2 linked regions of the Coturnix japonica genome follow. The protein of the gene in region 2 binds, or shares a complex with, the protein of the main gene of each other region. Links are inferred from orthologs where the notes say so. Each region holds a gene or a part of one and is shown on either strand. Other genes may lie near its edges.

Region 1 (3,810 bases), on a different chromosome or scaffold from region 2:
TAGCCTCAAAGGGATCTGGAATACTTCTCCAAGCAAAAATAACCCCTAAACTGGCAGTTTTTCACACCAGAAATCACTTTCACAAGCATTTCTATTTGGGCAGTGGTTTGGCATCAAAACATTTTGGTGTCAGCTTTCCTTTTATCTGAGAAGGCCAAAAAAACAGCTTGGACAACCTTAAAGAACCCCCCCAAGCTCGTGACATGATCTGCATTACTTCAGAGATAGCCTTCTGTCCTTAGTTACCTGGGGTCCTGTATAGGCAGGGGGCTCAGGAAAGATGAGGTGCTGACTAGAGGCTCCAGCCTTTCCTGGGCAGTGGGTCCACTGACCATCACTGTTGCTGTAGCGGTTCTTGACCTTAAAGCTTTTGGCTTGTTTCCTACTAGGAGGACTGCCTGCATGGTCAGAATCCTGAAGAAAAAACAGGAAACAGAAGGTGAAGGATGGTCATGCAGAGATGCCAGGATCACTGTCTAACAAGTGTAGGCTTCAAGTCCACAGCTCTAAGTCCAGGCAGTAGTCCAAAACCAAGCAACAAAAGCTAAGACGCTATCAGAAAAGGTTGAGTCAAACCACCATCAAGATGGCAGCTTGTTATAGTATGACCATCTGTAATGGTGACGGGCTCCTACAATCCCGGCCTACGAAGTAGCACTACAGCCTCCTGTGGAGGTAGCAGGCTGTGGAAGGTTGACAGCACAGGCCAAGCCAAAGGTAGACAAAGGAAAGGGTACAACCTCACCTCATTGCTTTCCAAGGAGCCTTCACTGCTGACCCCCAGGGCTTTGGTCAGACATTCACTACTGCTGCTGCTACTCCTGACAGCTGCTAACTTATTGGTGAAGAAAATGTTATCCTCTGGAAAGGAATGGGGGGAAAAAAAACAACAAAAAGACCTTGAGGCTGCACTTGAATACATTCAATACAACTTAATACATTGAATACTTTCAATACTTCATTGTATTGTTTTACAAGAACAGAGAATGGTTGAGTTCAGAAGGGACCTCCTGAGGCTGCTCTGTCCAAAATCACACTGAAGACAATTAGAACCACATAGAGGAGCATATTCAAGGACAGAGACTCCACAGCTCCTCTGGACACTCTGCTCCAGCCTCAGACACTCACCCAGTAAGAAAGCACTTTCTTAAATTCAGAGGAAAACTCTTTCAGCTTGTCAAATGCAACAGCTTTCTGGCCACTAATATAGTGGTGTGATACTACAGACTCAGGTCAGAGGTGAAGATCCAGTAACCATTGCTGCCTATCAGTCTAAGGAGACTGGGAAGTGACAATGGAATCCAAGGGATGGGTCTCACCATCCAGTTGTGCACTGCAAGTCACATTATTTATTTAAGATAGTGACTTACCCCGGCTGCTGCTGCTCTCCACATCTTGCTCGTTAATTGGAGAGGTAACATCCCGGTTCCGGATATCATCAGCTTCGTAGCTGCCATCATCATTGAAGGTTACATAACCTTGAGGCAAGACTTGCTCTGTGTGCAAGAGGAGGAAAGAACAGAGGAATTAGGACGCAAGTTACCAGGGAGGTCCCAGCAGAAAGAGCAGTAGGTTGGGTATTGCATATAGTATCCCATTCATCAATACCCAGCTCAGACAAATGCATTCAGTGGGTTTCATTTTGTTGTTGTATAACCTTGTATGAAGTAGATAATTTTTTGTTTCTATAAAAGCCATGCATGAAAAACTCTAATGAAAAGATACTGTTGGCACAGAAATAGCTGTAAAGCACTTGAGAAACCATAAATGACTCTCAGGCAGGCTTCTAACTATTCCTACCATAGCAAGACTGCTTCTTTCCCCCAATTCCAACTGCTGTTATCTTAGCCAAAGCCTGGGGTCCATCATGGATGCTGGGACCCTTGGTCCTGCGAACAGGTCTCTGTCTCTGGGGGGCAGAACACGATTCATCTGAGGAGCTCAGCTCTTCGTACTTTCCTGTAGTCCAAAGAGAGATTGTTAGCAGCATGGTAATTCATGTACCTACTTACAACTGAGCCTACAAAAGCAACAGGAAATGTTATAAGAGAGGAGAGAGTTTAACTAGGTCAGAAAGGGGCCAGTAAACCACAACAAAAAAGCATTGGATCTCTGCCTTTTACATCCTCACAAACACTGGAAATTCCAGAACGGAGCAGCTAGTTTTACCCCTATCTATGTCATGCACCTATCTTCAGCTTCTATTTTAAAACAAGCAAACTAAAACCTGTTACCTGAACCCCTGCAGAAGACCTTGGGTACTGGGGCTGCATGCAAGTCTATCAACCCCACAATCTTTGTATGTCCATACTTCATAGCCAGTGTCCGCGCTGTGGCTCCAGCGTTATCTCTGGCATCTGCTTTCACCCCCTATAGGAAAACAAGCATTTGAAAAGCTCATAGCAGGTGTGTACTATGAAATAAGATATTCAGGACAGACAATTTGTCTCGGTTTCTCAACAACCCCCAAATGCCAAGTAGCCTACTTATACAGCTCTTGTGCATCACCAGTGGGAGCTAGCTGGCTTTTATCTGAATGCTTTGCATTGCTGCCTCCTTCTGGAAGTAAGCTGAACCATTAAATGAGATATTAAATTGTTTGGCACGAAGAAACACGAATGCCAATAAGCTTCAGGGCCAAGACAAGATATCCAGTAATTCAAGCATATAAGCCCATGCACACAGCAGAGATTACTGAATTAGCTGCTTCCTGATTCAGAAAGGATTCAGTCACATCAGACAGACCTTATTCCTGCTTGTTAAAGGCAAGCATTATACAATTAGAGTACTAGCCTTCACAAACAGATACTTTCAGAAATCTGGGGCTACAGATCAGAGATGACTTTCAAAGATCAAATGTAACACTGAGAAGATGGATATTAGTCTTGTGCTTCTTTCTCTGAGGGTCAGAACCGCAGATTTTCATTTATAGAGACCTGTTTGAACACTCACATGATTGAGAAGGTACTGAACAATTATCTCATGGCCAGAAGCAGCTGCTTCCATCAGAGGAGTATAACCATAAACAGGCTCCCTAGGGAGGGAAAACACACACAAGAGCTAAAATAATCAAAGATAAAACATGTTGTATTTGTTGACATACCATAATTGGCCTGACATACCCTCAGCCTTCACCTTTATCTGGTCACAAACTGTGTGATACATTGGCTATTCTACTGCATTCTGGCCTCTCTCAATAAATACAGAAACAAGATACTCCTGCAGCTGCATCCCTATCCCTCAGTGACAAAACCCCAGCACCTAGTGGAGCAAGAACCTCTTGCTGTTCTTAGGCAATTTAATGTGCACAAACATACAAGCAGATCTCAAGTCACAGTAATTCACTGCATGCTTCAGAAACGGAGTTCAGAATGTGTTGTGTCTGTTTTCTTTCAGTTTATTCCATAATTAAGCCAGCAATAAATCTAATCTCTCGACAGAAATTAAGCAATAGATTCTTCCTTACTTGCAGTTGGCATTCGCCCCGTTGTCGAGTAAGAACTTGACCATCTGCTGATGACCAGCACTGGTACAGTGAAATAAGGCAGTCCAACCATGAATATCTTTCATCTCCAGCTCTGCGCCTTGCTTCAAGAGAACAGAGAATGTTCTTAACTGCATCCCCTCTGTGCTGTGATACCAAGAGAGTTTAAATCCCTGTCAGGAAACCGGACTCAACTGAACAAATAACACACTGGTTGCAGCTGATTAAGAATCCTACTCTGTGCAGTTAGATCGTCTAGAACAGCTTTAGTTATTTCTTAAGGAATACACACCTGGAGAAGGAAGTAAGCAACGCTCTCATTTCCA
Region 2 (4,402 bases):
ATCACCTTACTGAAGGGGAGCAACCAACACCTGAGCACTGCACCTTCCTAAAATGCTTCACATGCACCACTGACCATGCCTATAAACTGGACATCGATATAAGAGCATGCTGTGGCCAAAGCAACAAACATGCTAGCTTCAGGACATCAACAGAATAGCTTCCATAAATTACAAGACTTGAACTCACTTTCAGCCCTGTATCCCATGGCCCATATTAGAGTTGGCAATCAAAGTCAGTTTGCTCATAAAGGTATTAAATAAATACCCTCTTTACTATTAAAGAAGTACGGTAAAAATTGCAAATAGTTCATGCTAAGAAAAAAGATAAGGAAAAGGAAAAGGAAGTGGAAAAGGAAAAGGAAGTGGAAAAGGAAAAGGAAGTGGAAAAGGAAAAGAAAGTGGAAAAGGAAAAGGAAAAAGCCAGGCCATTATATGAAATGGTTTGCTTATATTTTGTAATAGCATCATCCCCTGTTTTGCAGTTGGGAAAAATGAACCAACTCCCACAGTGAAAGAAGACTCAGTGAACACAGGCAAGTGTGATGTGCTTATGAAGCTTAGAAAACAATATAGTAGGTAGCCACTGATATAATAAGAGAAGATGAACTTAGCACTGGGGGAACAGAAAAACTCTCCTTGTGTTGGAACTTGGATTCTAACACTGGTTTCACCGAAAGAACAGCTTCAATGCATCCTGGCTGTCAGAAGCTGTAGTAATTTGTCAGTGAGCAAAAGGCAACCATACAGGCCACCCCATCAATCAGCTAGCTTGCAATGAGGAAATGGGAATCCTAGATCCCTCCTCTGCTGAAGAAATAATTTCTCATTTTAATAAATATAAAACATTCACAGGATATACACTTCTGTGCAGCTCATTGCAGCTACCATGCATTACTAAATGTGTGTGCAGGGTTAAAAACAATCGAGTTTTGATCCTGAAAGCTCCTTTCACATGCTAAAGAAAGACAATCTGTTATTTGAGGAAATCCCGAGGAATGCAACAACCACTAAGAGTAGATGTGAGATCCAGACTCCCTGGTATCCTCGCAAAGAACACACAGTTGCAAAAGGAAGACTACAAGGGCTGTCTAGTGCTTGGGATGCAACCTTCCTGCTTTCACTACATCACTACAGCAGCTCCTGCAGTCACTGGCGATGTGGTTACTTTTATATATTAATTGGTGACACTACGTCACCAATTTCAGCAGGACTAAATGCAGCCAGAAAATTCAACATGTGCATAGTTTGAAAAGTATGTCTGTATGGTTACTGCATTTCTTTTTCAGTTATCCATTTAAAAACAAACAAACAAAAAACGTTCTGCTATTTTAAGCTTTCTCTGCAGATCTCTGTATCTATAGTACTTCTCAAACAGTAACAAGTCAAACAATGAGCAGGCTATAGTGATTTTGTTTATTGTCTCTAGAGAAGGAGTGTAAGGTTTTCATTAAAGAAAAGAAAAATCTATGAATGTTTTTGGTACTTTTTTTTTTAACCTTCATGAAATAACAGAACTGCTGAACCTTGTCTTCCTTGTTCTTACTGGAAAACCAGCTGTGTGACTCATTCTTTGGGAACTTTCTGTGGGCTTTAACTGAAAGGAGAATGTTGACTTTCAAACAGATCCTTTTCTTCCAAGTATTTTAATGTTATGAAAGAAAAAAAAAAAAATACAAAAATAACCTCTCAAACGTTCAATTCATACTGCCCTCAAATCTTGCAAAATACGTAATTCCACAGGGTATTCTTGTATGTGAAGATAAACACAAACACAAGCAGCAGCAATACCAGAGCCTACTGCAGCTCTGCAGTGAATGATAGAGTGGTATGATGCACAGAGATCCTGAGCTGTCATTAACATCTGCACGAATCACAGAATGACCCGGGTTGGAAGGGACCTCAAGGATCATGTTGTTTCAACCCCCCTGCCTGGCAGGGCCACCAAACATACACCTTTACTAGATCAGGTTGCCCAGGGCCCCGTCCAACCTGGTCTTGAACACCTCCAAGGACGGGGCATCCACAACCTCCCTGGGCAGCCTGTACCAGGACCTAACCACTCTCCTAGTGAAGAACTTCACCCTAACATCCGTTAGAGTTCATACAGGTATGATCAGGAATCATTTTGTGTATCCTCCAGCAATAAGCATATCCTTCTCCATTTAGTAAAGGAAGGAAAAGCTTGAGAGAAATCAATTATTTCTACTTACTTCAATCTATGTTATGTCAGAGTTTTTCAACAGGTAGATGTGAAAACAATAGAAAACGAAGCACGGTTGAACAGACGAGGGGCAGGCAGTGCTTTCACGTTCAGGTCAAGGCTTCAGGGCGCCTTAGCTCTGCATTAGGTTTGCTCAAGCAACAACACAACCTGCCTAGAATCAACCATCGCACCCCTTCATGCCCCTTCCATACCTACGCGGCCGTAGTTAAGAGGAAGAAAAAGGAAACTCAACACTTGACCAGAACACTCATCCCAGCTCACACTCCCGGCTCGGGACCGTCATCCGGGGAGTCGACAGGTGACTGGCCCCTCAGAAAAATCACAGCTCCCCACGGCCCAGCCCCTACGGGGTTCTCCCTCGCTTGCTCCGCCCTGGGGTGCAGGCAGCCGCCGCTTAGGCCGGTGTCCGCCCGCCCCGGGCCTGCGGCGCGGCGGGGAAGCGGGCGCCCCTACCTGGCCGCTTGCATCAGCGGGCTCCAGCCGTAGTGGTTCGTGCTCTGCACCGAGGCTCCCTTCCGCAGCAGGAACCGCACCAGCTGCTCGTGGCCACCCGCCGCGGCGAATTGCAGCCCCGTGTTGCCCGCCTCGTCGGTGCAGTCCACGGCGACGGCGGGGGAAGGGGCGGCGGCGGCCGCTTCTCCGCGGGACTCCGCCGCCTCGTCGGTGCCGCAGGCGGAGGCGGCCGCCGACCCGGCGGTGCCCCCGGGAAGCCCCAGCAGACGCCGGGCGGTCTCGCAGTCGCCCTGCTCGCAAGCACGGAGGAAGAGCTGGACCTGGGCGGGCACCCCGCATTCCCCCATGGGCAGCGCCGGCAGGGCCCGAGCAGCTCGGCCGCCCGTGCCCGCCCGCCCCCGGCGGCGGCTGGGAAGGCAGCGGTGGGGAGGAGGGGACTCCGGCGGCGGGAGGAGGCAGGCCGAGGGCGGCCCGACCGCGCTCGCTACGGGAGGAAGGAAAGCCGCCTCAGCTGCGGTCCTCAGAGCCGTAAGGACCGGCCTTGCCTTCTAATCCAGGCGGTGCTTGGGGCTCCGCGGCTCCTGCCCCTTCTCCGGGGGTCTGTGTCTTAGCAGCTGTTTTCCACGCCATGTTCGTGCTGCGGTTACTTCCACACAAAGAACTAACTCCACGGTACCAGTTTTCCTTCCACCACAGCAAGCCCTTGTTACAGAACTGTCTTTTGCCTGAAAAAGCAGTTCCTTTCTCCTGCTCTGTAGCATAGCTTCCACAGCCCAGCTGTTCTCTGCTAGCCCAACTATAGCTACTTTATACCTGCACCTTCCTGCTTAGCTTTTCCCTCTCTTCCAGTCTCTCTCCTTCCCTCAATAAGGGATCTGGTTATCACCCAACACACTCCTCTTTGCACCCGGATAGTGCCTATCAGCTGGTCCTCAATTTAAAGACTTCCGAGTGTAAAGCTGATCTCTTTTGGCATTTTCAAGTCTCTTTACTCTCTCCAAGCCTCCAAGTTAACTTGATACCTTTTCCAGGTTATACTGAATTACAACAGCTAAAGTGAGAGGAAAATAAAAATAAATTATATATACATACATATATACAAAGCTCTGGTGAAATAAACTACAGTTGACATATCGCTTAAGAGTATGGTATTATGCCCCTCCAGTTTTTTCTAGAGATTCATAGAGTATCCTGAGATGGAAGGATACCATAGGGATCACTGAGTGCAACTCTTTGTCTTTCAAACCCTATGTCTGTCTGAAAGCAGTGTCCAAACACTCCATGAACTCCAGCCCTTGGGGCTGTGCCACCTCCCGCCCCCTGATGCAGCCCCTGTCCCTCAACCCCAGCTGCCCTTCCCCTGGCACAGCTCCATGCTGCTCCCTCGGGCCCTGTCACTGTCACACAGAGCAGAGCTCAGCGCTGCCCTTCCGCTCCCTGTGAGGAGCTGCAGCTGCCATCAGGCTTCCCTTCAGCTCCTCTGCTCTGGGATGAGCAAACCCAGGCACCTCAGATGATAGTCATTCATCTTTTCCCTCTAGACTCTTCACCATCTTCGTATATCTCTCATTTGAACACCCTCCAATAGTTCTTTTTCATACTGTGGCATGCAAAACTGCACAATACTCGAGGTGAGACCACTCCAGTACAGTGTAGAGTGGGACAATCACATCCCTTGAACTGCTAGCAATGCTGTTCTTGATGCATTCCCTACAGCTTCCAGCA

Evidence for each region.
Region 1: the proteins of ANKS6 (region 2) and ANKS3 are in contact, whole or in part, in a crystal structure (PDB 4NL9), measured with the Homo sapiens proteins. The link is inferred for Coturnix japonica from reciprocal best matches to the Homo sapiens genes ANKS6 and ANKS3. Residues at the interface, in NP_775822.3 of Homo sapiens: Glu796, Gln797, Glu798, Val799, Asp800, Glu802, Ala803, Thr806, Leu807, Asp811, Glu814, Leu815; in NP_597707.1 of Homo sapiens: Lys441, Tyr442, Thr470, Leu471, Phe472, Gly473, Pro474, Arg476, Lys477, Arg484.

What each region holds. Positions count from the first base shown.
Region 1 is NC_029529.1:11,295,941-11,299,750, forward strand, and holds part of ANKS3 (ankyrin repeat and SAM domain-containing protein 3), read right to left. Parts: coding exon 3,777-3,810; intron 3,658-3,776; coding exon 3,467-3,657; intron 3,035-3,466; coding exon 2,953-3,034; intron 2,371-2,952; coding exon 2,235-2,370; intron 1,960-2,234; coding exon 1,801-1,959; intron 1,497-1,800; coding exon 1,371-1,496; intron 862-1,370; coding exon 746-861; intron 415-745; coding exon 247-414; intron 1-246. UniProt on the Homo sapiens protein: May be involved in vasopressin signaling in the kidney.
Region 2 is NC_029517.1:43,441,387-43,445,788, reverse strand, and holds the start of ANKS6 (ankyrin repeat and SAM domain-containing protein 6), read right to left. Parts: upstream 3,106-4,402; 5' UTR 3,025-3,105; coding exon 2,678-3,024; intron 1-2,677.